Mus musculus: one gene and its partners. The protein of the gene in region 6 interacts with the protein of the main gene of each other region in a pairwise test. Links are inferred from orthologs where the notes say so. Each region holds a gene or a part of one and is shown on either strand. Other genes may lie near its edges.

Region 1 (3,980 bases), on a different chromosome or scaffold from region 6:
GGAATAGGGTTGGAGAAATAGGGGTGGGTAGGAGTGACTATTTGAGGGATACAGAATTGGGGAAGGTCCTTCTGGGATGGTCCCGAAAGTTGATGGAGGAGCAGGGAGAGGCAAATGCTGAGGGGGAGGGTGTCGTCCTTCTTTTGTCTTATGGCAGCTTTTATGACCAATCCTCAAGGCTGAAGAAAGGTCGGAATTATTGGGAGGAGAACTTTACAATAGCCACAAATAATATGAAATATTTTGATGGAACTCTAACCAAGCAAGTGAAAGGCCTATATAACAAGAATTTCAGCCAGGCGGTGGTGGTGCATGCCTTTAATCCCAGCACTTGGGAGGCAGAGGCAGGCGGATTTCTGAGTTTGAGGTGAGCCTGGTCTACAAAGTGAGTTCCAGGATGGCCAGGGCTATACAGAGAAACCCTGTCTTGAAAAACAAAACAAACAAACAAAAAAATTCAAGTTGCTAAAGAAAGAAATTGAGGAAGATATCAGAAGATAGAAAGCTCTCCCATGCTCTCTCCATGGATAGGTAGAGTTAACATAGTAAAAATGGCCATCTTACCAAAAGCAATCTACAAATTCAATGCAATTCCCATAAAAATTCCAACACAATTCTTTACGGACCTTTAAAGAGCAACTCTCAACTTCATATTAAAACAAAACAAGGATAGTTAAAACAATCCTGTACAATCCAAGAACTTCTGGAGGCATCACCACCCCTGATTCCAAGCTGTACTACAGAGCAATAGTAATAAAATCCATAAGGTATTGGCATAAAAATATGTTGATCAGTGGAATAAAATTGAAGACCCAGAAATAAACCCACACAACTATGGACAATTTAACAAAGAAGCTAAAACCATACAATGGAAAAGGGAGAATGTCTTCCCTAAATGGTGCTGGTCTAACTGGATGTCTGCATGTAGAAGAATGCAAATAGACCCATATCTATCACCCTGCACAAAACTCGGGTCTAAGTGGATCAAAGACCTCAACAGAAAACCAGACACACTAAATCAAATAGAAGAGAAAGTGAGAAAATGCCTTGAACACATTGGCACAGGAGACAAATTACTGGGCAGAACACCAATAGTTCAGGCGCTAAGATCAACAAGAAATGGAACCTCACGAAACTGAAAAGGTTTTGCAAGGCTAAGGACACCATCAATAGGACAAAACAGCAGCCTACAGAATGGGAAAAGATTTTCACCGACCCTACATCCAACAGAGGACTGATATCTAAAAGATATAAAGAACTCAAGGAATTAGACATCAACAAATCAAGTAACCCAATTGAAAAATGGGACACAGAACTAAGCAGAGAATTCTCAACGGGAATCCTGAATGGCTGGGAAGCACTTAGATGTTCAACATCCTTAGTCATCAGGGAAATAGAAGTCACAGAACTTTAAAAAAAAAAAGACTTATTTTGTTCTGTGTGTGTGTGTGTGTGTGTGTGTGTGTGTGCACTTGAGCTTGTGGGTGCATCAGAATCCAGAGGAGGGTACTGCATCTCCTGGAGCAGCAGCTACAGGTGGATGGCAGGCGTGATCTGTCTGACATGGGTGCTGGGAACTGAACTCAGGTCCTCAGGAAGAGCAGTGTGTGCTCTTAACCACTGAGCCCTCACTTCAGCCCTGAGAACTTTTATTATTAATAATTAAAAAAGAAACCCATCAAGTCTTTCTGCTGCTTCTAAGTTGTTCTGGAGTGGATCCTGGCCGTTACAGTTTCTGAGATGATTCTGCTGGGCAGTGGGTGTTGAAAGTCATTAACTCAGCCTCTTTTGAACAAGCTCACCTTGTTTTTTCAGTTCCGTTACATGGTCCTTCCTCTCTCTTCCAAGTCCCCGAGTGAAGAGCAGGGGCAGACCTGAAGGACAAACTGTCTACGGTCTAGTTTTTAGATAATTCTTTTCTTATTTGTTACATCTCATACTACTTGACTCTTTTTTCTCATTAATATAATTCAGGCTACTTAGGAAATTAACTTGAGCAATACTCAAAAGAAAGAAAAACACCATGAAGTATCAGATAAGCCACCTATTCAAAGGCAGCCCACTGCTGCTGCAGCTACCATGTGAGCCTAATTTTTGGAGACACCTGGTCTCCCCTTGAGAACAGTGTTCTATTCCACTGTCTGTCGTGGGAGATGGCAACAGCCGAGAGGCCAAGTCCAGTTCACTTGCTGTTTCGATAATTGGTTTTTTTTTGAGATTGGTCTTATAAGTAGCTATATAGAAGAGGCTGGCCTTGAACTCACAGATATTCATTTGCCTCAGTCTCCCAAGTGTTTGGATTAAAAACATGTCTTATTGGAACACAGAATGCTTGCGGCTGTATACTGTGTCTGGCTGCTGTTACGCTACAGGGGCAAAGCTGAGAGACTGCAACAGAAATCATCTGGCTTCCCAGGCGAGTCTAAAGTACTCACTGTTGAACAAAACCTTCTTGTCAGTCCCCGGTATATATCATTCTGCAATTGCTTTTCTTCCATTTTACATTCCATGGGCTTTCCCCGTGTTGTTATAATTACTTCATTTCTAATAACAGGTTTCATTGCACACAACGTAGTTAGGTAACGGTGTAGTTTTTTTCTTTTGATAAGACATGTATTTTTACCACCTTATAATTCAACCCTTAAAATGCTTCATGGAGCATGTTTGGACACCTCTCTCTCTCTCTCTCTCTCTCTCTCTCTCTCTCTCTCTCTCTCTCTCTCACACACACACACACACACACACACACACACTCACACACAATCCCTGAGCTACATCACAACCCTTTGCATTCCTAATGTGCTCTTTAACATGGCTGTCCAGATTGCTCAGCTAGCAGCACAGTAGCGTACAGGCAGCAGGTAGGACCCTACAAACACCTTTGATACAGACAATAACATCCTTTACTCGAAGGCTGGATAAAAACTTACACCTTATACTCTTTGATGACACAGTAGAGAATCTTTTACATATGTTTTCCAGAATTGAACATTGCCATCTTAAACATTTTCTTATTTCAGAGAGGCAAACAAGCATTATTATCTTACTTTGCACTTCTCCTCTTTCCATGGGGGGCTGAGCTTGTTGCTAAATGGCTGCATTTCTTTTACATGCTGGCTGACTCCACCTTGCTCGGCCTCCTCCTTCCCAGGACGCAGGGGGCGATCCTGGCTGGTCTCTTACCTTAGCTTGGAGCAAGGCTCCTGCTTCTGCTCGGTTCTTTTCCACATCTCTCTCCCACTGAACTCGGATCGTCTCAAGGACATCATCCAGACCGGTGCCCATGGGGACATCTGCTTGCTCCAGCTCAGACCCTGCCAGCTGTTTGTACAGAACCTTCACATCCTAAAAGCAACAGTGGACACCTTAGGACACCTGTCTTTCCTCTAGGGAGGAAAAACAGGCTGGCTCTGTGGGCATTGCTTGGCAGGCCTGCTTATCTATCTATCTATCTATCTATCTATCTATCTATCTATCTATCTATCTATCTATCTATCTATCTATCTATCTATCTATCTTGCACCATGCATGGGCACCACAAAGACTGGCAAAGTCCCAGATCTTCTAGGTATAGGTATCATTTTTCTTTCCCCAAGGATGCATTTCTTAGATTAGATCCTCCCAAGCCCATGCCCAAGTTAAAAAAAAAACAAAAACTAAAAACATAATCAAAAGTAAGTACATAGTATAGTAACCTATAGCAAGCATCTATAGAAAATGGAAGTTAGGCATAACATCAGGATGTACTAAAGGAGATTAAAATCCGTTCTAGAGTCTAAGGGGTGGCTGCTGGAGTGTGCTGTCAGGAACTGAGCCAAGAACAGGAAGGAACAGGTTTCCAGCCATTGGTCAGCTTCAGGTTTGGGCACAGGAGGAACTCCGCAATGTGAACACGGGCAGTGAGCTGTGACTGTCAGCTTGAAGCACCCTCAACCATGAATCAGAGTGATGTGTGTGTGTGGTGGTTTCCTGCAGGTGAC
Region 2 (3,995 bases), on a different chromosome or scaffold from region 6:
GTGGTCAGGATGAGGAGGGGGGGAGTCATATGGGGGCACAGTGAGGCAGCTGGGAAGTGTGCTCAGAGTTTGTGGATACACTGGAGGCCTTCTAGGAGCTAGGGTTTCAGAGCTGAAGTGTTACTTTATTGCTTTTGACTTTAAACTCAGGCATTGGGGGTGGGGGGTGGGGGCTGAAAGTAAACAAAACAAAACAAAACAAAACAAAACAAAACAAAACGTGATCTTAGAAGAAAGAGCTAGGGTAGGTAGCAAGGAGGAAATAAATACACAGACTACTTTTTCATTCTCTCCCAAAGCTTGGTCCTGTCTCAGCACCGTTGGATCTCTTTATTTGGGGGAAAGAAGGGGTGACCTTTCTTTTCTTTTCTTTTCTTTTCTTTTCTTTTCTTTTCTTTTCTTTTCTTTTTTTTGAGACAGGGTTTCTCTGTGTAGCTCTGGCTGTCCTGATACTCACTCTGTAGACCAGGCTGGCCTTCAACTCAGAAATCTGCCTGCCCTACACAGAGAAACCCTGTCTCGAAAAAACCCCCCAAAAAACAAAACAAAACAAAACAAAACAAACAGAAATCTGCCTGCCTCTGCCTCCCAAGTGCTGGGATTAAAGGTGTATGCCACCACTGCCTGGTGGGGTGAGCTTTCTGAAACAAGGTCTCTTTGTGTCTCCCTGGCTGCCCTGGAACTCACTATGTAGACCAGGCTAGCCTTGAACTTACAAGATACACGTGTCAAGCGCTGCTGTTAAAGGTGAGTATCACTATGGCTGGCCCTTTGTGTTTCCTGTACCCACAGCGGGGACACACTGCCTTTGGACCCTCCTCCCTAAGCCTCCTTCAGCTCCTGACATGCATGGCCCTTTATCATCTGCAAAGCCCTCCCAGGCTTCCTTAAGTTCCCCTGCATCCCTGCATGTCTCCTCCTCTCTTTGCTTCTCCCTGCCCTCTGACACTAGCTTCATTTCCATAATGCTCTTCATTGCCTGGGCTCTTCTGGTATGTGCACATGCGTGTGTTCTTGTGGCAGGCAGAGGAAAGTCTCTGGTGTCATTCCTCAGATGCCACCCAGTTTTTGTCTTAGGATTTATTTTTAATCGTGTGTGTGTGTGTGTGTGTGTGTGTGTGTGTGTGTCTGTCTGTCTGTCTGTCTGTCTGTCTGTGTCTGGGTATAAGCACAAGTGCAGATGCTTGAGGTCAGAGGCCCTGGAGTTATACAGTGGTGAGCTGCTTCAAGCAGATGCTGGGAACAGAACTTGGGTCTCTGCAAGAGTTTCACACTTTCTTAATCACTGAGCCATGTCTCCAGCCCCTTTAGTCCTTCCCTTTCTCTCTTCTCTCTACCTGAGATAGTCTCTCACTGACCTCCGAACAAACTCGCTGAATAGGCTAGCTGGCTGACCAGTAGTCTGGCTCCAGAGATCTGCCTATCTCCACTTTCCCAGTACAGAATTACAAGTGTGCAAGCAAGAGCACTGGATCTAGACTTGGGTTGATTTTCAGGCAGGTTCTCAGCATGTATGTACTCTAGGCTAGCCTGAAGTTCAGAGCCAACCTCCTGCCTTAGCCTCTCTGGTGCTGGGATTATAGGCATGTGCCACCACACCCCACTTGGGTCTGGTTTTTTGGCTGCAGCAAATGCATTATATGTATAGTACTCCGTGGAGGAATGTCAGTTGAGGAACCCAGTGATAATCTACAAGGTTAGAAAGCTACAGTCCTCTGGATTCCGGGCCTTTTGCAGAGCCCTGGGATGCTAGAGGGGAGAGCCCATAGAATATACCTTGCAGGTGTACTCTGTGCCTGTGGGGCAGTGCAGGGCTCGATAGCTGCAGCTGCCTTGCTCTCGTTCCAAAAGGATATAAGGCCCCAGTCGAGTTGCAGGGGCCACAGCAGGTGACAAGTCTGAGGCGGGAGGTGGGCTGGGGGGCAGCAGGCTGGGGAGTGGTCCGGGCTCAGGCTCATCTCTCACTCGTTTTAGGACTGGACACTTGGCATCAATATTGTCATCAAACTCCAACGGTTTCTTCCTGCAGGAAACATCAGCAGAAGCAGCCAGAGGTGTAGCTCGCATCTAGAGAGCAAGGAAGAAAGACTGTTTGGTATCCTGTCTTCTCTGCTAGGACCTTCCGAACAGAGAAACACCACACTGGGTTTTCCGAAGCTCTCAAATGCAAGGACTGCTAGGGAAGGAAGGGACCCGCGACGAATGAAAGGTTTAATAACGCAATAAGGAGAGCTGAGCTTAGGGACGCACCCCTGCTTCGCCAGCACCCTGGGGGCTGACTGGTGAATTGCCAGTCAGCCTGGGCTGCATAATAAGCTGGGGTCGACAGCTCAGGCTGAGGGCGCCCCCAGACGGCGAAGTAAAGGAGCGAGAGAGTGAGAGTGAGAAGAGTGAGAGTGAGTAAAAGAGAGCGAGAGCGAGAGGGAGAGAACGAGAGAGAGAGAGAACGAGAGAGAGAGAGAGAGAGAGAGAGAGAGAGAGAGAGAGAGAGAGAGAGAGAGAGAGAGAATAGAAATATTCATGAATACGCCTGGACTTCCAGTGACCCTCTTGCCAGACCCGGGTAAATCCCCCTTCGCAGCTCCCTACTGGGTACCTTGTCCTGGAGCCTCAGAGCCGCCTGCGCCCACGCCCGTGGACCGCCGCCAGCCTAACTGAGCAGCTCTCGGAGTCTCCTGCACGCTAGTGCCAGACCCCAGCCGTCACGTACTCGGCAGCAGCCTCTTCCGCTGCTAAAGTGCTGCGGCACCGGGACGCGGGCTCGGATCCCCGCCCGGCTGATGTAAACCTGAGCTAATCTGCTGCTGACGCCCAGCGGCCCGGGATTGCACCATCTGTGACCCGCCCATGTCGCCGAGTGAGCTCCGCCCTCACCTTCGGGGCCACACGCCCCCAACCCTACCCCGCCCCCCAGCTCCTGAAGTAGCACTCGGAGCCACCGACTCTCCGTATTGTAGTACTTTATACCTATTTCCCCGTATATGAAATGAGAATAGAGGAAAAAAGAATGAACGGAGGCTGTTTAAAAATCTCGTCAATCCCCTCCACCCGCTACCCGGTAGTCGGGCAGAGGCAGGTGGATCGTTGAGTTCGAGGCCAGCCTGGTCTGCAGAGTGAGTTCCAGGGTAGCCAGGGCTACACAGAGAAACCCTGTCTCGAAAAACAAACAAACAAAACAAATATCGCCTCCACACCCCACTAAGGACTGGGCTAGAAGCCCCGTGCTCTGCGTGCATCCTGGGAACCTTCCCTCCAAAGCAACCCTTTCAAGGGTGCACCCAGTTCTGCTGTAGCTCAGAAAAGCCGCTTAGCGCCCAGTCTGGCTCGGGGTGTGGCTCTGTGAGAGCACAAAGCCAAAAACAACCAAAGGAAGCAGAGCTCCATTTCCCTTCTCCGTAAAATGCTGCTCTCATCACATGGTTGCCGTGAACATTATTAGTAAGTTCGTGTGCTCAAAGCTCTTAGAAGAGCTGGGTGTGATGCACACCTAGAATCTCAGTTACTCGGAAGCCTAAGGCAGGAGGATGAGTTTGACCATGCAGCTCTGGCTTGCCTGGAACTCACTCTGTAAGGCAGGCTTCTCTCAAACTCACAGAGATGTACCTGCTTCTGTTCCCCAATACTGGGACTAAAGGCCTTGTTATCAAGCTAAAAAGAAATGTGGCCGGGAGTGGTGGTGCATGCCTTTAATCCCAGCACTCTCAGGAGGCAGAGGCAGGCGGATTTCTGAGTTCAAAGCCAGCCTGGTCTACAGAGTGAGTTCCAGGACACAGAGAAACCCTGTCTCAAAAAAAAAAAAAAAAAAAAAAAAAAGAGTAAGGGTTGAAGCAGAGTAATGTTTTGTAGCTCAGCCACAGAACATTAGCCTAGTAGTACATTTGCATATGGTAAGCAGTGAGTCCGATCCCCAGTAACAACAAAGTGTAGTCTATGGGACTTGTAGGCACTCTGTAAATAGGATGGAGCCGCTGGACACTGCAGGTGGAGGGACATTA
Region 3 (3,956 bases), on a different chromosome or scaffold from region 6:
TGACGGCGTCTGCAACTACAGGAAGGCTGCAGTTACTCTCCGCCAGGGTCGGTCTAATGGAGGGGGCGTGGGCGCGGTGGGGCTCCGGCGCCGGTCTGTTGAAAGCCGCTCGGATGGCTCCCAGGGCTCATGAGAGCACGGCCCTCCCGCCGCGGGCGCCCTGGACCCGGGCCTGGGGCTTTCCGCGCCCAGAAAGCCGCCTGCTCGGGAAAATCCCGGCCCCCTTCCCGGCGCCGCGGCCCTGCCCGGCAGAGCGGGGGGGAGGGGATTCCCGGAATCTGCCCGGAGACCGCGCTGGCGTCACTGAGCTGAATAGGCCCATATATGGGCAGAGCTTCCGTAACGTCAGCGGGGAAAGCCCCGGCGCACTCTGCTGGGCGGGGTCATGCTTGCACATTCCGCGTTTTGTCCTGGGTAGCTTGTTCCCCGCCACTGCCCGCCTGCGCAGCGTCTGGTGCCAGGACTCAGGGGATAGGAGGTCTGGGCGTTTGTACTGAACCTTATGATACCTGAAAGGAGCGAGCTACAAACAGCACCGTGCTTGGGGTAGCCCAATCTTCTCCCTCCATCCGCCCAGCTTGGAAGAAAAAAGAGACCACAGAAATTAATAAAGACAATTTTTTTTTTACTTAAATAGATTCAATAAAAAGTCAAACACACACACACAAACACATCTTAAAATAGACTTTAGACACGAAGTGCGTGTTTCTTCTCCACAGTACTATGCAGAGGGGGAGGGCAGGGGGCGGAGGTCCCTCCCTAGTATCCCCGCAGGCTGAGTACCAAGCGGCGGGGCCAGCTCCGCCGCGACAGCCCCCTTCTCCCCTCCCTGTTAAATACACAAATATATTATATTCAATATGAATTCAGTCTCTTTGCAGAAAAAAAAAACATACAAAATACGCTGGAAGGGGGCCATGTAAACCTCGAGGTGGAAGGACTGGGCGCAGGCGGGCGGGCCGGAGTCCAGTGTGTGAGCTGCGCCCCAGGCCTTTTGGCGGGTGCCCATCGCCTGCCCCCCTCACCCCAGTGGGGGGCAGGCGCCCAGCCTTCAAGGCTGGGGGTGTCCGTATGGGGCAAGGGAGGCTCTCAGAAGGCGTGTCCCTTGACCCCTAGCAGCAACTGGCAGCCGTTGCTGACATGGGTCATGACCTTCTGCTTGAGCTGCGCCACTTGCTCCCGTAGGAGACCGGCAGCACTCGACAGCCCCGCGTTCTCAGCCTTGAGTGTCTTCACCTTGTCCTCCAGGCGCGCGATGCGCTCCAGCTTCCGCTTCCGGCACTTGGTGGCCGCCAGCCTGTTCCGCAGCCGCTTTCGCTCCACTTTGATGCGCTCCTGGTCTTCCATGTTGATGGGGGACACAGGCGGCGTGGCGTCGCGGCTGCGTGCCTCCGGTACGGTCTGCGGTTCCTCTTTAAAGGCGGAAGCGCCGCGACTCAAGCCCAGCTGTGCCGGGTGGCCGCCCGCAAAGGGTGGTGCATGTGGGAGGTAGCTGATGGTGGCCGTCGGGTATGAGCTCCCAGTCCCGACGGCGGTCCCGGAGCCTCCAGAGGGTGCAGAGGCTGGGGAGTAACTGCTGAGGTTGGTGTAGACGGGAGGCGGCTCCGGACCAGCATAGACGCCCCCTGGGCCGGCCTGGGGACCCCCGCTGGCGCCCAGGGACACGTTGGGGGGCGTCACGTGGTTCATCTTGTGCAGGTCGTCCAGGGCTTTGACAAAACCGTCCGCAAAGCCCTCCTGCTCCTCGGTGACGCCGCCCCCTGTACCTCCACCGCTGCCACCCCCACGGGGGTAAAAGTACTGTCCCGGAGGCGTGGGCGTCGTCGTGATCACGCCGTTGCTGTTGGGGACGATCAAGCGCTCCAGTTCCGTGGAGGCTAGCTTCAGAGATGCGCCTGTGTCTGATCCCTGACCCGAAAAGTAGCTGCCTGCCCCACTGCCCTCCGGGCCTGGACCCCGCGCCCCAGGACCCTTGAGACCCCGATAGGGATCCGCCAGGTTGAGCGCCAAGGTGGGTTTCAGGAGTTTGTAGTCGTGTAGAGACAGGCTGCCAGGGCTCCGACCGTATCCCGCCGCTGCGTAAGAGTCGTCGTGATAGAAAGGCTGTTCCATTTTCGTGCACATCCGGGCGGCCTGGGCGATCTGGGAAAGGTCCCCCTGAAGGGCCGCCCCGGGCCTCGCTGCGGCGAGCGGCGAGCTGTCCTCGGCTGTGGCAGGACCCGGTGTCCGGTCGCGCGTCCTCGGGAGCTGGAGACGGTCAGCAGCGGCCAGTTGGCAGCTGTGCGTAAAGGCGCTGCTGGGCTTCCGGAGATTTTCTCTCCCTCCGTGGTGCGCCTGCTTTCTCGGCGTCGCTTCCCTCAGTTCCCCGCTCCCAGCAGGATCCTACGCTGGCCTGGCCACCCTCAAAGTCCCCAGTGCTCGGCCCCAGCCCCAAGCTTTTATACTGAATTTGTCAGCTGCGGAAGTGCACTCCGATTGGCCGACGCGGGAGCCAGGCCCCCGCGGCCCCCTCCTAGAGCGTGGGGAAGGGGAGGAGGCGGCTCGCGTCACTGTCAGGAAGCGCGTGTCCTTGTAAACAGCGGCCACGAGCCGGGTGGCTCTGCGCGGCTGCAGGGGGAGGGGCTGTGGAGACAGAGACACACAAGCAAAGGGATGTTGAGGGGCCGAGGCACATAGGGGCTAGAACTGCGGGAGTACAGCCAGGTGCTTATGAGATACACTGCAAGTGGAGATTGGATACCTTAGGATATCCCCGGAAAAGTCTCGTGGGACCCAGGGTAGCTGTGGCTTGTGAACTGACAATACAGTAGAAGACCCCAGAAAACAGAGAAGATACAAAACAGGGGCAATTGTTAACATTTGGCCTAGGAATTAACCAGAGGTCCCGGGTACAAAGTGCTTAAAGAACTGGAATTGTCAGTTGGGAGGAAAGGGCCAAGACACAACAGGGCTCAGGTACCTATTGTACAAGAAATGAGTAGGGGCTCTAGAGTCCATAGATGAGTCTGAGGGTTTCCCCATAAGTGGAAAAGGGAAGGAATTTTGGGGAGGTCAATTTAGATATTCAGAACAAAGGTCCTGGGGACGCTGAGGTAATCGGAGTAGAAAGATGGGAACATATCTAGCAAAGGTTGGGGTCATTGTGGATATTTGCAGAACTCTGGCAGAGAATTAAAATGGTCACGACATAGCTTCCTTCCGAGCTATGAAGGCAATGACAGGAGGGTATCTGAGATCTTCCTGAGAAGATGACTCGGAGGATCCCAGAGACCAGGACTTGTACGAATGAGGCTGTACCTCGTAGGTGGTCCCTAGGGCACTGACATGCCCAGTACCTCAGCCCAAAGCCCTCCCTTAGTCACCCGGGGCTCGCCCGATATCCTGTCAGCTTTTGGAGGGCCGATGGGGCGGGATAGCTGGGGTGCGGTCGCCCAACCCCACTCCCTTCCTTAGAAACAGGCTAGGGAAAGAGAGCCGAGGCAGGAAGTGTGGCAACAGCCCCGAGGGGGAAAGAGCCCGGCCCTGTCTCGTCATTGTGAGCCTAGGGGATGGTGCACCCTACCCTGGGCCTGCCAAATTCTGCGCCTGGGAAGAGGAACCTCGGCAAGCGACCCTTGGGGAAGTCACAACCCAGCTACAGACGCTTCTAGTCATAGTCTGATCTCCCCCATCTAGAAATGGTTCAGCCTGCAACCATCGGCGACTAATAAGCCTGGCAGCCGAGGACTGTTCCATTGGCCGGCTGGAGGGGGATGCAGCCTGGGAGCGGGGCCTCGTCACCAAGGCAACAGGCTGGAGTCCGTGAATTAGATTGGGGGCGGGGCACCCCCCCCTGAATTTCTCTCCCCAGCACCCATATTAGGGCACAGGAAGAGGTGGGACCAGTGCAGTCTTGGGGCGGCAAACTAAGAGCCAGGAACTCGAGGTAGCTGCCAGGTCCCAGGGCGCGCCCGGGC
Region 4 (3,732 bases), on a different chromosome or scaffold from region 6:
TTCTATGTCTGAATTCGCTTTTAAACCAGTAAAATGACATTCAGGCAGATTCAGGAAACCCTAGATCTTTCCAATATTTCCTGGTTACCGTGTATACCCCTTTACCAAGTTCATTTCAGCAGGGTAACATAATGGACTGACACACAAACAAAGCTGGGCAGATAATTCTCAGTACCTACCCTCTGGACTGTCTGAGAGATGTCAACTCACAAACTCCAGTCCAGGTTCTAGCTCAGGAGACATAAGCATCTTGCTAATTGCCACCCACAGGAAAGAAGGACAATGGATAAAACTTCTCTGCCATGTTAGGAAACTTCACTGTGCCCAGTAATATGCCTCTACTGTCAGTCTAAATGTTAATAATGTCCCTTTATTTCTCCAAAGTGACCTAATTTAAGATGATAGCCCCCCTACCCAGCCACCCTTTATATGTCACCTTGGAAGCCCCAGACAATGCTCCTTCACCACAGCTTTTAAAACCCTATGACAGGGCCCCCTGGAGCCCAAAAATGAAAGTGAGAATACTGGGATTGAACCAAGTTCCCCAACCACAATGAAATAATGGAGGTGAGTCACAATAGCCAATGGTAGCACTTAACCATGAAAAGACAACAGTTTGCTGCTAGTTTTGCAGTGCTTGATATTTATTGCAAAGAATTACATTGCTTTTTTCAAGTACTAGAGAGGATCTGGGCTGAATGCCTGTCCGTTTGCTTTTATTTTAGTAGTCCTTGTCCACATGGACACATCTGTGAGGCTGCTGCAGTTCTGAAAGGAAACGTGCTGTGCAAAACTGATGCATAGGAGAAAAGACATGTCAACATTTTAACTGTCCGGCAGGCACATCAGGTTCCTGTTCTGGTCAGGCAGATGTGGAACCTGGTAGTACGTACAGAACTAACCAGTCGGTAAAGACTGGCTGGCCCCTTCAAGGTTTGGTGAGTAGTCCAAAACAGAGTCTGAATGGGTGGAGTAGCAACTCCATCATCTTCTTGGTCCTTATCTTGAAAAGTGCTTCAGATGAAATTCGGTGAGTGGAGGTGAAATGTCAGGAATCTGCTTCTGGGCAGATGGCGGACTGGCCTGAGTTCCAGTGGATGTCAGCAGCAGGAATGCAGGTGGTCTGACCAGTTCTAATAGGGACCTGGAAAATCGCTGGAACTCCGAACAGAGTTCAGATTAGGATAAGTGCCTGAGGCCAAAGTGAGTTTCAGAGCAAGGTCCAGGCCCAACTCACAGCAGGTAACTGGAACAAAGACAAGTCCTGAAGGGAATGATGGAGCAAACAGACTGGCGGGGAAGAGGATGGCCATGCAAAGGGAGAGATTGAGGCAGCAGGAATGGCGGGTGGGGGGTTGGAATGAAAAGGCGTGAAGGCCCCCACCTCTAGGCCTAAGGGGGCTCCGGCCTAGTGATCTTCCTCCATTTCTTCCTCTTCATCATCATCACCATCATCTTCGTCGTCGGTACCCCAGCCAAAATACTGCTTCATCTCATCAACAAAGGCCTGATAATCACCGAGGACGTAGCTATTTGACTCGATGTAAGGCATCACCCACTCCTCAGCTTCCCCGGAGAGGAGGCTGATCAAGAATGCCACTTTCATGGCATCATTGCAGAAGTGCTCCTCATTCGCAAGCATGTAAGACATGGTCTGCATGATAAACTCAGGGAGCCGACCACTCTCGCCGCTAAACCGTGAGGGGTAGGGCACCGGACAGCTCGGTGGACATACCTGGCGCAGCAGCCTGGCCCGCTCACACACCAACAGTCGCAGCTGCTTCAGGAGCTGGTGGTTCTCCATGCACAGGGCTTGGTGCCTATCCAGAAGCGCGTGCAGAAGCGACAGCAGCTCTTCCACCATGGTTAACTGCTTGGACGGTCTCGGTCTCGGTCTCGGTCTCAGTCTCGGATCGGCTCCACGGAGCTGCACAGAGAGGCTGAGCAGGAAGTGCGGGTCCTCAGAGGAGTGCGGACCCTGGGCAATAAATGGAGGGGTCCCAGCCAGCGGCAGAAACTCCACCCACAGGGTCACTTTACAAACCTGTGCGCTAGCGCAGTGCGGTAAGGAAGGTGTGGCTGGGAAGGGTGCGGGATGGCGTGGGGGCGTGGTCAGGGTGGGACTGGTGGCCAGAGTGGATGTGGCTGAGGAGGAGCAGGGCGTGACCCAGGAGCTTCGCTGCGGGGTCCCGCCAGTTCTTCCACCTGGAAGTAGGAAGGCTGAGGGAGCAAAGCTTGCCACAGTGGAGAACAGATGCTCAGCCCTCAGGGCTGGCCTGCTCCAGCTGAAACTTTTCTGCAGGCAGCCTGTTCATCTAATTCAGTGTTCCTTTGTGGGTCTGTGGCCATCAGCTTCTTTAAAGTGATCCTTTCTTAACACATTTTTTTTTCTTTTTTTACTTTTTATTGGATATTTCTTTATTTACATTTCAAATGGTATCCCCGTTCCCGCCTCCCTCCCCTCAAAACTCCCTATCCCATCCTCCTCTCCCCCTGCTTCTATGAGGGTGTTCCTCCACCCACCCACCCACTCCCATCTCCCCTCCCTCGAATTTCCCTACACTGCGGTCTCCAGCCTTCACAGGACCAAGGGTCTCTCCTCCTTTTGATGCCTGACAAGGCCATCCTCTGCTACATATGCGTCTGGAGCCATGGGTCCCTCCATGTATACTCTTTGGTCGGTGGTTTAGTCCCTGGAAGCTCTGGGGGTGAGGAGTGTCTGGTTGGTTAACACATTTCCTTGCTCATTTAAATCTCACTCGGAGAAATAACGCTGACTCTGTGGGCCACCGTGCAGGAGGTCATTTGGGTTCCAAGTCTAAAAGACTCACAGGTAGACTCACTTTCATTAAATAAATAAATAGTATGCAACAAAAGACTTCTCTTTGACAAGCAATTTTGTTAACAAGATTTGCAAACACCAACCAAAGAGAAAGCACAGGCTGGACCTAGGCCTTCCTGCACACATGTAGCAGATGTGCAGCTTGGTCTTCTTGGAGGTTCCCCAACAACTGGAGCAAGGGCTGTCCCTGTGTCTGCTGCCTGCCTGCTTGAGGACCCAGTTACTCTAAATGGTTTGGCTTGTCTGTCCTCATTTGGAGAGGGTTTGACTTGTTGGGTGTGTGTGTGTGGAGGAGGATGTTATTTTGTGAGGATTTTTATTCTCAAAAGAGAAGAGAAGGTGGAATGGAGGAAAGACCTAGGAGAGGGGACACTGGGAGGAGAGGAGCGGGTTGATATTGAGATGTAAAGTGAAAAAAATAAATAAATTTAATAAAAAAGAAAAAAGAATGTCCTCCCCCCAAAAAAAGATTTATAAAATGTATACAGGGTGTCCACTTGTAAACATCCTATCTTTGATTCTTATCATGTCCTGTTTATGAGTACCTTTGTTCCTGTGTAGTTAAACTACCATGTGCACTGTTAAATAAGCCTGTCTGCCTAGTTTGAATGTGATTAGTTGTTGATAACTAAGTTTCGTTCTGGGTCATCAAGCTGATACACAATGGGTCTGCTTTTAAAAATATATCTCCAAATTCAATCAATTCTGGTCCTATCTGCTACCCTGCTACATCGAATCCCTTAGCTGCCAGCCTTGCCCTTTAGCAGCATGCACTCTGTACAGTAAGTTGCCCAGAACACTTTAAAAGGTGAGTTAGACCCTTTCACTTCCCTGTTCAAGGCCTTCCAATAGTTTTTCCCTCTCTGCTTTTCCCAGTAAAAAGCAAACTC
Region 5 (3,980 bases), on a different chromosome or scaffold from region 6:
GGGGGCCCTCTATTGGGCTTCAGGTGAAGGATACAGATAAGAAATTTGACTGTTTTGGGACTCAGTCACCTGTTTTCTGAATTCTAGGATGAATGGAGCCAAAGAGAAATTGTGAGTGTAGCAATGGCTCAAGCCCTGGAGGAGGTGCGGAAACAGAGAGAAGAGTTCCAGCAACAGGTAGGTCCCTGGCTGGCTACCAAGGTGTAAGCCAAAACTGTGTTCCCCTGCAGTCTCAGTGGCACTGCACCTTCTATGTGGGGCCATCAGAGAGACCCCATATACCCAGGGTAAGCATGTCAAGGGTCTCTAGGAACACAATCAATTGGAAAATGCCCTATGACCTGTAGGTTACTTGGAGAAACTATTACCAAGAAACCTCACCCCAGATGATGCCCTTCCTAAATTTTCATGGTTACTTAGTTGTAAACATTGATTGGAGAAAAAGTCATTAGGGAACTAACAGTCTGATTCTGTCAAGTGGTACATCACCACCTGCTATTCCCAAAGGGTAAGCCAGAAGTATAGGAAAAACTATATGTGGGGACAAATAGAGCACCTGGCTCTTGCTCTGCTGACTAGAGGTCTCCAGTGAGTTCTTGACCAATCTGAGGCCAGTCGCTTCTGGAAAAAACTTAGAGTGATCATACCTTCTGATACCAGCATGAGGTACGCAACAGGCTGGTGAATTGTGGGTGCTCAGGAAAGGATGTGTTGTGAGGCTAACCAGAATATCCACACTCTGGGTAGCCCAGCATGGGCCAGCAGGGTAGTGAGGGCAAGCACATTGTGCAAGGCCATTTAGGAGAATGGATCCCACTGCCATATGTTTATTCTAAGCTGCAGATGTAATGAAGGGTACTATAGGAAAGGGAGTTATGTCAGCCCCTCTTATGCTGAGTTTCCTGCTAAGGCCACTGAGTTGACAGCCATCATAGAAGAGAAAAATCAGAGCCTGTGTGAAAAGGATGAGGCACTTCTCCAGAAGGAGCAGGAACTTCGACAGCTGGAAAAAGGTGAGGAGTCAACCCCTGGCCAGTAAGCGTCATTAGTGAGCCAGCCTGTCACAAAGCAGTGTGCAGTCACTAGCTCACACTATACTCCCACTGCCCTAGGTCACAGTTCTGCCCTGCTGCAGATGCACAAACTGCAGAGGGAACTAGAGGCCTTGAAGACTTGCAAGGCTCAGGAGGCAATGCCAGCCACAACAGGAGAGGACTGCCTGCCACTGCAGGGCCAGGAGCCACTTGTGAGAGCTCTCCCTATACTGGAGGGAGGATTTGGGGTGGGAGTGGGGGGGGTGCTCTGCACTGTTAGGGCCCTGCTTTTGTGGTAAAGGTGCTCAGCTGCCTAGGGGGCTTGAGACCTATAGGACCATCTGTGTGCAGCACCTATGTGGTGTGTGTATATGCCAGTTGGTCACCAAAAGTCAGTAGTTTGCCTGGCAGGTACTGGATGGAATCTTCTCATATGGGGCTGGCACTCCTTCCCCACAGACCTGCAGCTCACCCTCTGCCTTTTGTCCTATTGCCCCTATCCTGTAGGTCATTTCAAAAGCCATGCAGAATTCTGAGTATGAGCTTCCAGCTGCAGAAGGAACTCCAAACGGTGAGGTTGGAGCCAGTGATCTAAAGCAGCTACAGAAAGAAAAGCAGGACTTAGAACAGCAACTTATCGAGAAAAATAAGGTGAGGACACCATACCTGGCTACCTATGCTGGATCTGTTCTAGCCCAGCCCTCAGGCCAGCAGCCCAGCTGTTCCTCCTCATTGCTATTACCTCCTCCCCAAGTCTGCCATCTTTCCTCTAGAGGTTGGTGCTGGTTTTCTCATGGCTCTCCCCCCACCCCACTTCCTGCTGTCCTGTAACTCTTCTCTGTAGACAAGGCTGGCCTCAAACTCAAATCTGCATGCTTCTATCTCCTGAGTGCTGGGACTAAAGGCATGTATGGCTTTTGACCTCACTCCTCAGACCTACTCTGCTTACATCTCTCTCAGTGCAAATTGCAGTCCGTGCTGAGTGTAATGACCCACACCTGTAATCCTGCACTCTGCAGACAGATACAGAAAGGCCAGGATAAAGGCCAGCCTGGGTTATGGAAAGCTTTCTTTAAGACAAGACCACACTGTATAGCCCTGTCTAGCCTAGCACTCACAGAGTTCATACCTTTCCAATGCTGGGATTAAAGGTATATGCCACCTCAACCTTGAGTCCTGCTTTCAAGAATGGCCATGGGGAAATTCAGTCATGGTAGTATGCGTCTTTAATCTCAGCACTCTGGAGGCAGAGGCAAGTAGATTCATCTGAGTTCAAGGCCAGCCAGGGCTCTGTAATGAAACCTTGTCTCAAAAAAGAAAGGGGGTGGGGGAGGTAGGGGAAAGAGAGGAATGAAATGGGGCTCAATAATAGAATACTTGACTAGCTAGCATGCATAAGACCCTGAGTTCCATCCCTAGCATTACAAAAATAAAAATAGAAACTCAGTCACAAAGTAAAGCATGGGCATCCCCTAGAGTTACTAGCCCATTACAAATTACCACTAGGAAGCCAAGCATAGTTACACATGACTGTAATGCCAGTACTTAGGAGGGGGACACAGGAAAGTGGGAGTTCAGTCATCCTTGGATACATAGCAAGTCTGAGCCAGTCTGGTATATATGAGACTCTGCCTCCCCCACCCTACACACACACACACACACAACCACTGGGGAAATAGTAAGTGAAAGTGAAACGTGAAAAAGAAAAAGCTGGACATTCTCATGTACACCTGTAATCCTAGCACTGTGAATTCAAAACCAGCCTGAGCTGCTTAGGAAGATCCTGTCTCAGACACAAAATAGAAACAAATTTTCACTCTTCAGTACAAGAATCAGAGCATAAACTAGAAAGTCTAAGAAAATTCTTATTTTGCTCTTATAGTTGTAAGATCTCATTCATATATATATATAGATATATAGGTATATCTATATATACATATAGTTTGTCTGTTTGTTTTCTTTGAGACAGGGTTTCTCTGTATAGCCCTGGCTGTCCTGGAACTCACTCTGTAGACCAGGCTGGCCTCGAACTCAGAAATCTGCCTGCCTCTACCTCCTAAGTGCTGGGATTAAAGGCGTGTTCCACCACTGCCCGGCATCAGAGATATTTTTATTTAAGACTTTTCCAAGGTACTGGAGAGACAGCTAAGCAGTTAAGAGCACTGTTTGGGTTTAGTTCCCAGCACCCACATGGCAGCTCACAACTCTCCTGTGTTCTGAGACAGGATCTTCCTAAGTAGCTCAAGTTGCCTTTGAGTCACAGTAGTTCTCTTATCCCAGCCTCTCAAGTGCTAGGATTACAGGTTTAACTCCAGTTACAAGAGATTCACTGCTGCCTTCTGGCTTCCATGAGCTCCTGTATTCAGGTGTAGCCCATAAACAGAGGCAGGCACACAGACATACACAAATGGTTTTGGTTTTTGGCTTTTTTTTTTTTTAAGATTTATTTATTATTATATCTAAGTACACTGTAGCTGTCTTCAGACACACCAGAAGAGGGCATCAGATCCCATTACAGATGGTTGTGAGCCACCATGTGGTTGTGGGATTTGAACTCAGGACCTCTGGAAGAGCAGTCAGTGCTTTTAACTGTTGAGCCATCTCTCCAGCCCCACAAATGTTTTTAAAAATAAATATTTAACAATTTCTCATTGAGTTTGATCCCTGTCACTGAGGAAAATAAAATTCCTGTGTTACAGATTATAAAGTTTTAAATTAGGAAAGTGAAGCTCAGCCTTTCTAATGAATGATGAGATGTGTAGTAAACCACATTTAAGCCTTGTAATAAAAAACCCACTGGTTACATATGAAAATAAAGGGGCTCAGTAGTTAAGAGCACACTTATCCAGAGAAGCTGGGGTCAATTCCCAGCACCCACATGGCAGCTCCAGTCCCATGAGACACCCTCAAGCAAAACATCCATATACATAAAATTAATTCTTTTTT
Region 6 (4,537 bases):
GGGCTGGCTAAACGGGAGCAAGCAGTACTTCCAGCCTTTTGTCATACCTGACATTGTCAAGGTTTCTACAGCTTCCTCCACTCTTGGCCAGACTACGGGTGGATTCCATAGTTTTAGGAATCCTAGATTAGCAAACCCAATGGACTACATTCATCCCAACAGCTAACATTCAGGTGAGTCTACTGGCATTGGGAAGGCTGAAAGATCCCTCTTAACCCTGCAGGCTTTAACAGTTTCCAGATTTAAGAGGTAAAGATGCAGGTAGCCCAGGACCCTGGAGCTGGAAGCCTAGGTTCCCTTCCCAGCTTCCTGCCTACATTGCTCATTTTCACCTCTGTAGACAGTACCTGCCACTGTTTACTATCACCCCAGCCCTTCCACCAGGTGGAAACAGTCCAGCCATCTGTGTCAGAGGGAATATGAGCTCTATCCCTTAAGCCTGAGAAAAACCTAATCCTCTGTGTGCTCAAGGCGGGTACCTCATCTAGGTACTTACATGGCAGCTATCTGGCACAAAGCCAGTATGAACAGGTGGAATTCAGGCTGTTCCTTTCATTAACCCAGAGCTCCCTCATCTTCACCGTCTCAAACAGCTCAGCTCAGCCCTGGGATATACCCAGGTAGTTATTGTATCTAACCCAGGAACGTCTGCAGTTAAGTCTATTACAAAGAATGACACTGAAAACCCACATAGGTACTTTCACTACAAAATAATTTATTACAGCAAACACAGCAACACAAGACTATGTACAAGCACAAAGCACCTGACTACCCTATTACGGAACTCTCTTCTTCCCCCTTGCCTTACGGACCTCTTCTATCAGGTCTTTCAGATACTGGATCTCCTTGGCCAGAGAATCTGCCTTCTCTTTCAGAGCCTCATTCTTTTTTTCTAGCTCCTTACACTCGCCAGTGAGGGCCTCCTGCTCAGCCCGCTTCTTCTGGCGGTACCTAGTGGCTGCTGTCTTGTTTTGCTCCATCTTTTTCAGCTTCTTATCCAATTTCTCAGTCTTCACTTTAGCTGTCAAACTAACTCCAGGTGGGTCATAAGGTTTGGGCCGAGGAGACCCACGGGAACCACCTGGAGAAGGCAGATTGTCTGGTGGGGCCCTGGAGGTGGAGGGGCTATGCTGGGGAGAGCCCAGGTAGGACTCTGGGCTCATACAGATGCCACTGTCATTGTCAGAGGGAGTGTCTTCCTCCTTTACACATGGAGGGATTAGAGTAATGTAAGCAGCAGAGTCAGGCTTCCTGTCTCCTTCAGAGATATCAACTTCACTGCCTAGCTCTAAACTAAAGGAATGCTCTGGAGTGGAAGACAGAACCCCTGGGGAACAGGGGAAAGGCTGCAAGAATGTAAAGGGGGCAACCTGGTCGACTTTTATTAAACTTTCTGGGAGATGGCCAATTGGGTTCACTGTCTGAGGGGGCTCCTTATTAGTCTCTTGGACTAGAGGGGCAAAAAGATCACATGTGTCATCCAACGTGGTCAAGAGCTCATCTGGCATGGTTTCCAGGTCATCCATTCGAAACAGAGCATCGAAGTCAAACTCTTTCAGATCCATTTTCTCCAACATCCAATCTGTCCCGGAAAAGGCATCCTCTGGGAAAAGAAATTCAGGTGTGAACGGTTCATGTCATATTCGGGAGGCAGAAAGCCATTAGAACACCAGATCCATATGAAAAGGGCACACCAGGACAGCCGTCCTACTCACCCTTGCCGGTGTCTGAGGCACTGGCCAAGCCATCATCCATAGCCGGCCATTCCGAGGAGCCCGCCTTGTCGCTGGAGAACCCATGAGGTTTCAAGTGCTTGGCCACCTCCAGATAGTCATCTAAGAGACCTAGGCTTTCTTCAGCCCCCAAACCCGACTGGTCGAAGGGGGACATCAAGTCCCCCGCCAACACTTCGCTGTTCAGGAAGCTCATCTCGGTCATGTTGTGGGGCTTTGCTGGATTCGAGGAATGTGCTTAACTCGAAGGTATCTTTGTCCGTTACAGCAACACTGCTGCTGGATTTCGTGAAGAGCCTGGATGGGGACCCAAAAGCAAGTCCAGTCATCTTTCTATCTAAGATGCCGGATGGCCAAATCCCAGAAGCGTCTACAGGGAGAGCACGCGGGCCCAAGGCCATTGTGTAAGCCTCCCCGGCCGCCAGCTCGGGTTGCACAAGATGGAGGCTTAGCTTTGCTTCACCGGCCACCCAGAGGAAGCAGCTTGTCCTCGCGTCCTAATACGGCCAAGGCCGCCGCGCCCCGCCCCCGTGACTCACACCCCCGCCCCACCGCCATCTTGGGCATCGCCACGTTCGCAGGATGACACGGGGACCCCGGTGAGCCCGAGATGATTAAGCTAAGACAGGACGAAGGGGCAGCAGTAGCGCTTTAGACACTCCTCCGCCCAGCTCTGCCCGGGAGCGCCGGCGTCGCAGGCAACGCAAACAAGGCCGACGCGTCCGGCCGCTTGTAAAACCGCGTGTGCCGGCCACCGCGCCCGGGCCGCACCCAACCACAGCGAGGCCCCCGCCCTCCGCGGCCGGCCCCATACTCACGCCATGGCTTAGGCCGGTGGGGGTTGCCGCTGCAGAGCCTGGTGCTGCTGCCGCCGCTGCAAAGGCCAACGCTGCCGCAGGCACTGCTGCCTCTAATACGCCATGGTGGCCGCAAGCCCTGCGGGAGGGGAAGAGGAAAGGGACACCCGAGCACACAACTTAAACCGGCAGACAGCAAGCAGAAATGGCGGCGGCACGCCCTAAACCCGCCCTTTATAGCCTCGGCCAGGGACGCAGCACACCGCGTATCCTCCCACTGTGGTCACGTGATCCTACCGCAGCGCCACCAAACCGCCTCTCACTGACGCCCTCGCCCGCCCCAACCCTTCTCCGCTGTGCTCGGGGGGTAACTGTGGCGTTAGAGATCGTCCTAAAGGCCCCATGAGAGAAAAGTGCACTACTTTATAGGTTGACGACCAGCCGCGGTCTGGTTCCGGAGCGCGGAGGGATCGCTCGTTGACGAATTTCCGGTGTCTTACAAGGCGGGGTGGGACACCTAGCCAAAGCTCTGACGGTCAAAGCCGAAGCTGCCAGGTTATCACGCGAGACGCCGTCGGAGCGCGCGTCGAGCTGATTGGCCCAGGCGTGGCGAGTCACCTAAACCTCAAGTTCCTATTGGCTCTGCACCTGGGCGCTCTAGGATCAGGGGTCTGCGTGGAAAGGGAGGAGCCACCAGAGGTTCCGGGCGCCAGACTGTCACACCTGCCATCTCTTGTCAGATGTGATCCATGTGTATTTGCTCTCTCCGGCATCGCTCCGCACCGAGCAAACAGCTTCCAGGCGTGACCTTTGGGCTGGAAGCCATCTTTTCATGTATTTGTTGTTTCCAGAACCGAGTGGGCAGGCTTCAGGCATGTGGAGAGACCCTTCTGAGTTAGCTGGTCCAAACCTTCAGCTTCCTGTCAGTCCTGGGACAGGGACGGCACTTGGAGGCAGGGCGTTCGTGTTGGGGTCTTCTTGGGAGATATTCCGGTTCCTCCAGTTCAGCGATTTCCCCTGAACCGGGGAAACATGCCTAACCTCAGGTCTAACCTCCTATGCCCATCCTCCCATCATAGAGGCCCTCACTGCCGGTTTGTATAGGGTCAGTTCCCTTAAGATCAGGTTTATTCAGTTGGCTCTCAAGCCTTAACTTCCAGGTATCACCTTCCCAAGAAGTCATCCTGATGAGTGAGCCTGCCGCCTAAGTGATCGGGAGCCCCAGGTACTGGTCAAGGCCTCACCATAAAGGATGCTGTTTTGAGAGTGCTGAGAGGCTCTTTCCAACTCCAGCCTGGAAATCTTAAAAAGAGTTTCCACTTCTGTTTAAGTGACTCACACAAATACCACTCAACTGGCACAGTGCCTGCCACTTACTGCTCAGTGATTATTTGCAAGCCTTGTACAACCCAACCCTAGCGCTCGGGTACCATAGTTCAAGGTCGTCCTTGATTATATGATTGATTGCTATTTATTAATTCGAACCTAACTCTCCAGTCCCTATATCCCTAACTCCATCCTCCTTCCTCAGAGGAGCCTTTATTATTGTTTACTGAGACGGAACCAACCATAAAACACGAGGCCTACATAATGAGATGTTTTTATACCCAAAGAAGTCACAAGTGCATGTGCACACATACAGAAGTTACCTAGTCTTTCCATGCAAAAGCAACAAAAGGGTAACTATGTCCTCTCTTTGCTCTGGAAACCAAAACAGCAGCCACACTGCTACATTAAGTGGACATCCCTTACAAGTTTCTGTCCCCTAAGCATAATGTACCCTGCAAACCATGGTTTTTAACCTATGCTGAGTTCCTAACTCTATGATGTATGCCCACCCCTTGCTTTGCTAAACTCCTGAACCTGTGATACATGACTGCCTTTTGCTATACAAAAACGTGCCTCCCCAGAAACCTTCCACGTGGTGTAAGCTTGCACTTCTTTTTCTGGCCTCCTTTCTAACAGCCAATTATCCTAGCAGCTGTTTTCTATCACATGTATCTACCC
Region 7 (4,751 bases), on a different chromosome or scaffold from region 6:
GTCTGATTGTTTTGTATATGGAGAGTTAGGGCATCACTGTAGAGCTCACACTGCGATTCTGGGTACACAACCCCTCAACACACCCATCACATGTACCCACTCCCCACTCACCCCGCTGCCTCTCTCGAGCCTTGGTCTTCCCAAATCGCTTCCGGCTAGTACTTCCCTTCTGCTTCTGCCTCTTCCTTTCACTGGCACTTCCGTCTTCGGAAACCCCGCTGAAGGAGGAGGCTGCCGACTCGGGGTCTGAGGCTTCTCCAACCCCAGCCCTGCTGTCCCCATCAACCCTCCGAGGTCCAGGCTTCATCCGGCAGTAGTCCTCTAAAGAGAGACAAAAGTGAACTGTGACACAATGTCCTATAATTGCCCTGAGGGGGGAAAGATGGACATGGAGGCCAAGTCCTCGGAATGAGGGCAGGGTGAAGTCCCCAAGTAGAGACATTAGCTACACTGAATGCCATAGAGCCAGCTGGGATTCGGGGAATAGTGTGAGCATTTTTCTAGGCTCTGAACTTGACTGAAACAGGTCCAGGGAATTCATGAGAATCTGTGACTATGCAGAGTTTCTGTGGGGGAAATGTATCCTGGGGAGCTCCAGAGTGAAGAGTCAAAATCCGAGAGGCAGACAGTGCCTCTGGGTAGGAGGATTGGATATCAGACTCCTACAGAAGTCAGGGTTCAGTTTGGGTACTGGGAAATGCTAACTACCTTCCCCTAGATAGGGAGCCAACTCAGACTCAGCATCTTCTGAAGGATGAACTCCTGAGAACTGAAACCAAGACTCTGCCCAGTCATACCAGGGAAAGATAGGAGTCACCCTGGATAGAGCTCTCAGTATAGGAAGAGAGGGTATGCATGTCCCCATCCCAGTGCTAGGTCCCTTTACTAGAGCTTTTGCCATGGTTAGCAATGAGAAAGCCTGCCAGCAGCTCAGCTGGATACAGAGGTTAGGGTTATGGCCTGAATAAAGGCTAAGTACTCCAAGAAACCAGGGCTAAAGCTCTGGGAAAGGGCAGCCTTGAGTGGGGAATGTGCTGGGAATGGCAGTCAACACAGGTTAATGAGATAGGGCCCTGCCTGTCAGAAGAGGTGACACCACCATGCTGTTACTAGTTGTAGATTAGAGCAAGACAAGGGAGTGGGATCCGCTCAGGACCCTAAGGTGAAGCTTAGGAGACAGAGGTACTGGGACCCCCACAGCCTTTGAAGAATAAGAAACATGAGGCATGATAATGTAGAGCAGGGTAGAGGGAAGACAGAACCCTGATTGGTATTTCAGGGTACCTCTAATGGATGATGACTGCATCATTCAGAAATCCTGGGGTGCTGGCAGGGCCCCTCTGAGGAATCCAGTAGACTGCAATGGGTCTACTGACAAAGGGACATTTCCCCTAAGATGAGGAACCTGGGCTGGAAATATAGACTCTGGGAGACAGTTATGCCAAGTGCTTGAGGCTGATGAGTTACAGGGCAGTCTCATCACAAGATAGGAAATGAGAGAAGTCTTTGAAATCAAGAAGGAAATGGCTGGGGAAGGCCCTAAAATAGGCATGGGCCTTAGTGGAAGGATAAGATGCCAAGTCCCCATCAGGTCCAACCAACATTGGGTGTTGAATTCTGCGGGTCCTGGGGGACTGTGTGCCCCCACCTGCATCCATCCGGGCAGAGGAAATGAATTTGTCCAGCTGACACCGCAAGAAGTCCCTCTCCTCCTCCAGGTCCTCAATGCGCTTCTGCAACCACGAGTTCCTCTCCAGTGCCATGTGCAGCTGGGCCTTAACACTGCTCATCAGGGCCAGGGTTGGGGAGGCGCCCTCTGGAGGCTCTAAGAACAGCAGGGACGGAGGTCATGCCCCAGGGTGAGGCAGTACCCCACCTGACTCCAGTCCCTCCAATGCCCTTTCTCAGCTCACCCTCAACATTTCTCCGAGACGGACTCAGACGGTATAAGATTTGTGAGTCTAAGTGGGGTGCCTCTTCAAAGGGAATGGAGATCTCAAAGGTCTCTTCGTCCTTCACTGCAGAGAGGTCAGCAGAGGTCACCCCAGAAGTGGCCTGAACCTTATAGACCACCCCCAACCATTGCTGTCCCATGGACAGAGGGAACCAGAATGTCAGACCAAGGATGGGAAAAGAAAGGGTCCCCAGGTGCCTCACTTGTCCGCCAACGGTTGTTTCTGTCATTCATATCGAGGAGGCTTCCTGCAGACCCAGCAACTGAGCCCTTGGGGGCACTGGACAGAAGCAGGTCACCAAAAGTCGGCAGTCCCTGGAGAGGTGGAATACCTGTCCCTCCGGAGTAAGGAAGGATCACCAGTCTGAGGGAGGAAAGGACCCATACTTCTGGACAGAGTCAGAGGCTTCCAAAGTATGTACCCAGAGCGAGGGGGCTCAGCGAGAGGAATCTTGGTTGTGAAGGGGCTCGGCCCTTAAATTCTTTGGTTCCTCGTGGGGTCAACACCACAGGGAGACCTGGCCTGAATGAGAAAGCCCTTCATCATGGCCCATCTCCGAACCCAATGCCATAAATGGAGAAACAACCACCCCTAACTTCCATTCTTGGGGTAGGGGGTCCATCCTGCAAGCGTTCCCCTGTCCCAGCCGCCCATTCCTCCCGCACTCGCGTGGGCGAGTAAAGCCCCTCCCCGAAGTGGGAGCTGGGCGCGTGCGCAGTGCGTGGGAGGTCACGCGTGGGGATGCGCCCCCACCCTTTGTCCCACAAGTGGGAGGGGGCGACCGTGGCGAAGGGTCCCAGAATGGGCAACCGGCATGGGGGTGTCGACCGTGGGCACCGTTCCCCGCCTTTGGGTGCTCAGGGTACAAGGGGCCGAGGCCCCGCTCTCACCCACCCGCGCACGGACTCCAGCCCCGGGACCGACGGCAGTGGCGGCGCCCATGCCCAGCGCAGGGGAGCGTCTGCAAAGTGTCGCGGAGAGAAGCGCCCACCCACCAGTAAGCGGGCGTAGCGGCAGAGGAGGGGGAGAACTGGATGGCGGAGCGCGGAGACGTGGGCACTAACCGAATCAGGCCTGCCGAGCCTGGGGCGCCTCTTCCTGGAGCCCAGGTGAGGCCCGCCGTTTGCGCGGAGGTCGGGACCGCACTTGCGCGATAGCCCCTTGCAACACCCCTCCAACCCCCACCCCACACACAACCCCCCCCCCCTCCTTTCCCAAAGCCTAGGCAGGGATCCTCATGAAATTCTCATCCTGCACAGCTGATGCGGTTCCGGGGGTCCTCCGGGTGAGTGGCTATGTGACCAGTGGGCCGAGAAAAGTCAGAAGGTATGAGGCAGTAAGGAAAATTGAAGTGAAATTTGAGTCTCCTTTAATGATCCCTAAGTAGCTGATTAATACATGCATACCTTTAGTCTTAGCCGCTCCAACCTACCATAACCTCCACCCACCCCCATCCACGAAAAGGATTAAAGGAATAAGAGGACCAGGATGTGAGAATGGGTTGTGTGGTGGTTACTTCTCCGCAAAGTGTGGGTCAGGAATAGCCCACACTGGAGCCACCTGTGGAACAGCTACACTCCAGTCCTTGCTCCTCATTCCTCCATGGCCTCAGTTTACTCACCTGTTCAGTGGGAAGTTACTCTTAAAAGCCTTTGAGAGGATGTAGTTGTGTGACATACCAAAGGCTCAGCCCAGAACCGGACCACTCTTGGAGCTTAAGATCCAAGCGCTGTTGATATTATTTGAAGTCAGTCGGTGTAGATGCACAGCCTTTAAGACACTCCCCCTCTCCCTTCCGCCCCAAAAGAAGTCGTGTAAAGAGGCTATCTGCATAGGGCACATACACACACACAATCAGAGGAAAGGAGCAGCGAAGACATGTTTATTAGACCTACACTGCCTCTCCGGTTCACAAGCAGCATCCTCTTTGGGGTTCTGAAGCCCTAAGAGGCATGACTTAAACCATCCTTGCAGAGGAAGACTGAATGTGTCAACCAAGACTAAGCAGTTCATTTTTACAAATAAACTGCATCCTGGGTCAGCAAGTCCAGGGGGAACCACCTGCCCTAGATCAGTATTTCAAACCACAGAGAATTGTATAAAGCCAGGTGAACTGTATAAAGCTGTGCTTATGCTCTAAGATGCTATTTTTTTAAGTATATTAATGTGGATTGTAGTTTGGGTGGGGAAGGGGTAGTGTTCAGAACCTTTTTCCCAAAGATGCTAGGAATGTTGCGCAGTGTGTAAGGTGCCTAGCATGCACAAAGCCCAGAGTTTCAGTATTCTGGAAGTGGAGGCAAGATCATAAATCCAATGTCACCCTGAACTACATTACAACCTTATCTAAATAAATAAATAAATAAATGGCAGGTTTGGGGAAACTGAAGTAGGCCTAACTCCCAGAGGAAAACGGCAGACTTTCCCATTACCCAGTCAAGGTCTTTGTTCCAGATAGCATAAACTAAAATGTCTCCCAAAATGTAAGTAAGGATTGAGAATGGGGTGTGGTGTGCATTGAGTGTTCAATATAAGGTCCCTACTTCCAGTGTCAAAATAGAGACCTCTGACTACCCACTAAAACTTCCCAGGCAAGAGTTTCCCCAAACAGCATGGTCCTCCCTTCCTCCTATCAGGAATCCGTAATAATAAATATCCCAACTGTTCAAGGGGCAGGGCTGTTCTCTATGAGGGCTCGTTTCCATATACCTCCAAAGCACTATGATGCCCTGACAGCTCAGAGACTCTTCGAGGCAAGGCTGGGTTTGTGTCTAGGGCTCTGAAAGCCAGGCTGGCACT

The links.
Region 1: the proteins of Atf4 (region 6) and Bfsp2 interact in binary tests that used the Homo sapiens proteins (3 or more experiments, as listed by UniProt). The link is inferred for Mus musculus from reciprocal best matches to the Homo sapiens genes ATF4 and BFSP2.
Region 2: the proteins of Atf4 (region 6) and Trib3 interact in binary tests that used the Homo sapiens proteins (3 or more experiments, as listed by UniProt). The link is inferred for Mus musculus from reciprocal best matches to the Homo sapiens genes ATF4 and TRIB3.
Region 3: the proteins of Atf4 (region 6) and Junb interact in binary tests that used the Homo sapiens proteins (3 or more experiments, as listed by UniProt). The link is inferred for Mus musculus from reciprocal best matches to the Homo sapiens genes ATF4 and JUNB.
Region 4: the proteins of Atf4 (region 6) and Ldoc1 interact in binary tests that used the Homo sapiens proteins (3 or more experiments, as listed by UniProt). The link is inferred for Mus musculus from reciprocal best matches to the Homo sapiens genes ATF4 and LDOC1.
Region 5: the proteins of Atf4 (region 6) and Golga1 interact in binary tests that used the Homo sapiens proteins (3 or more experiments, as listed by UniProt). The two-hybrid records come from large-scale screens. The link is inferred for Mus musculus from reciprocal best matches to the Homo sapiens genes ATF4 and GOLGA1.
Region 7: the proteins of Atf4 (region 6) and Ccdc106 interact in binary tests that used the Homo sapiens proteins (3 or more experiments, as listed by UniProt). The link is inferred for Mus musculus from reciprocal best matches to the Homo sapiens genes ATF4 and CCDC106.

What each region holds. Positions count from the first base shown.
Region 1 is NC_000075.6:103,445,366-103,449,345, forward strand, and holds part of Bfsp2 (phakinin), read right to left. Parts: intron 3,816-3,980; exon of another isoform or gene 3,683-3,815; intron 3,346-3,682; coding exon 3,184-3,345; intron 1-3,183.
Region 2 is NC_000068.7:152,341,261-152,345,255, forward strand, and holds the start of Trib3 (tribbles homolog 3), read right to left. Parts: upstream 2,801-3,995; 5' UTR 2,597-2,800; intron 2,068-2,596; coding exon 1,777-2,067; intron 1-1,776. UniProt on the Homo sapiens protein: Inactive protein kinase which acts as a regulator of the integrated stress response (ISR), a process for adaptation to various stress. Inhibits the transcriptional activity of DDIT3/CHOP and is involved in DDIT3/CHOP-dependent cell death during ER stress.
Region 3 is NC_000074.6:84,976,306-84,980,261, forward strand, and holds Junb (transcription factor jun-B), read right to left. Parts: upstream 2,444-3,956; 5' UTR 2,125-2,443; coding exon 1,090-2,124; 3' UTR 604-1,089; downstream 1-603. UniProt on the Homo sapiens protein: Transcription factor involved in regulating gene activity following the primary growth factor response. Binds to the DNA sequence 5'-TGA[GC]TCA-3'.
Region 4 is NC_000086.7:61,707,842-61,711,573, reverse strand, and holds Ldoc1 (protein LDOC1), read right to left. Parts: upstream 1,964-3,732; 5' UTR 1,865-1,963; coding exon 1,409-1,864; 3' UTR 624-1,408; downstream 1-623. UniProt on the Homo sapiens protein: May have an important role in the development and/or progression of some cancers.
Region 5 is NC_000068.7:39,020,406-39,024,385, reverse strand, and holds part of Golga1 (golgin subfamily A member 1), read left to right. Parts: intron 1-87; coding exon 88-177; intron 178-910; coding exon 911-1,013; intron 1,014-1,112; coding exon 1,113-1,246; intron 1,247-1,541; coding exon 1,542-1,685; intron 1,686-3,980. UniProt on the Homo sapiens protein: Involved in vesicular trafficking at the Golgi apparatus level. Involved in endosome-to-Golgi trafficking. Mechanistically, captures transport vesicles arriving from endosomes via the protein TBC1D23.
Region 6 is NC_000081.6:80,253,700-80,258,236, reverse strand, and holds Atf4 (cyclic AMP-dependent transcription factor ATF-4), read right to left. Parts: upstream 3,054-4,537; 5' UTR 2,552-3,053; intron 2,031-2,551; 5' UTR 1,939-2,030; coding exon 1,716-1,938; intron 1,604-1,715; coding exon 777-1,603; 3' UTR 692-776; downstream 1-691. UniProt on the Homo sapiens protein: Transcription factor that binds the cAMP response element (CRE) (consensus: 5'-GTGACGT[AC][AG]-3') and displays two biological functions, as regulator of metabolic and redox processes under normal cellular conditions, and as master transcription factor during integrated stress response (ISR).
Region 7 is NC_000073.6:5,055,066-5,059,816, reverse strand, and holds the start of Ccdc106 (coiled-coil domain-containing protein 106), read right to left. Parts: upstream 3,092-4,751; 5' UTR 2,319-3,091; coding exon of another isoform or gene 2,189-2,318; coding exon 2,158-2,188; intron 2,019-2,157; coding exon 1,914-2,018; intron 1,826-1,913; coding exon 1,649-1,825; intron 322-1,648; coding exon 112-321; intron 1-111. UniProt on the Homo sapiens protein: Promotes the degradation of p53/TP53 protein and inhibits its transactivity.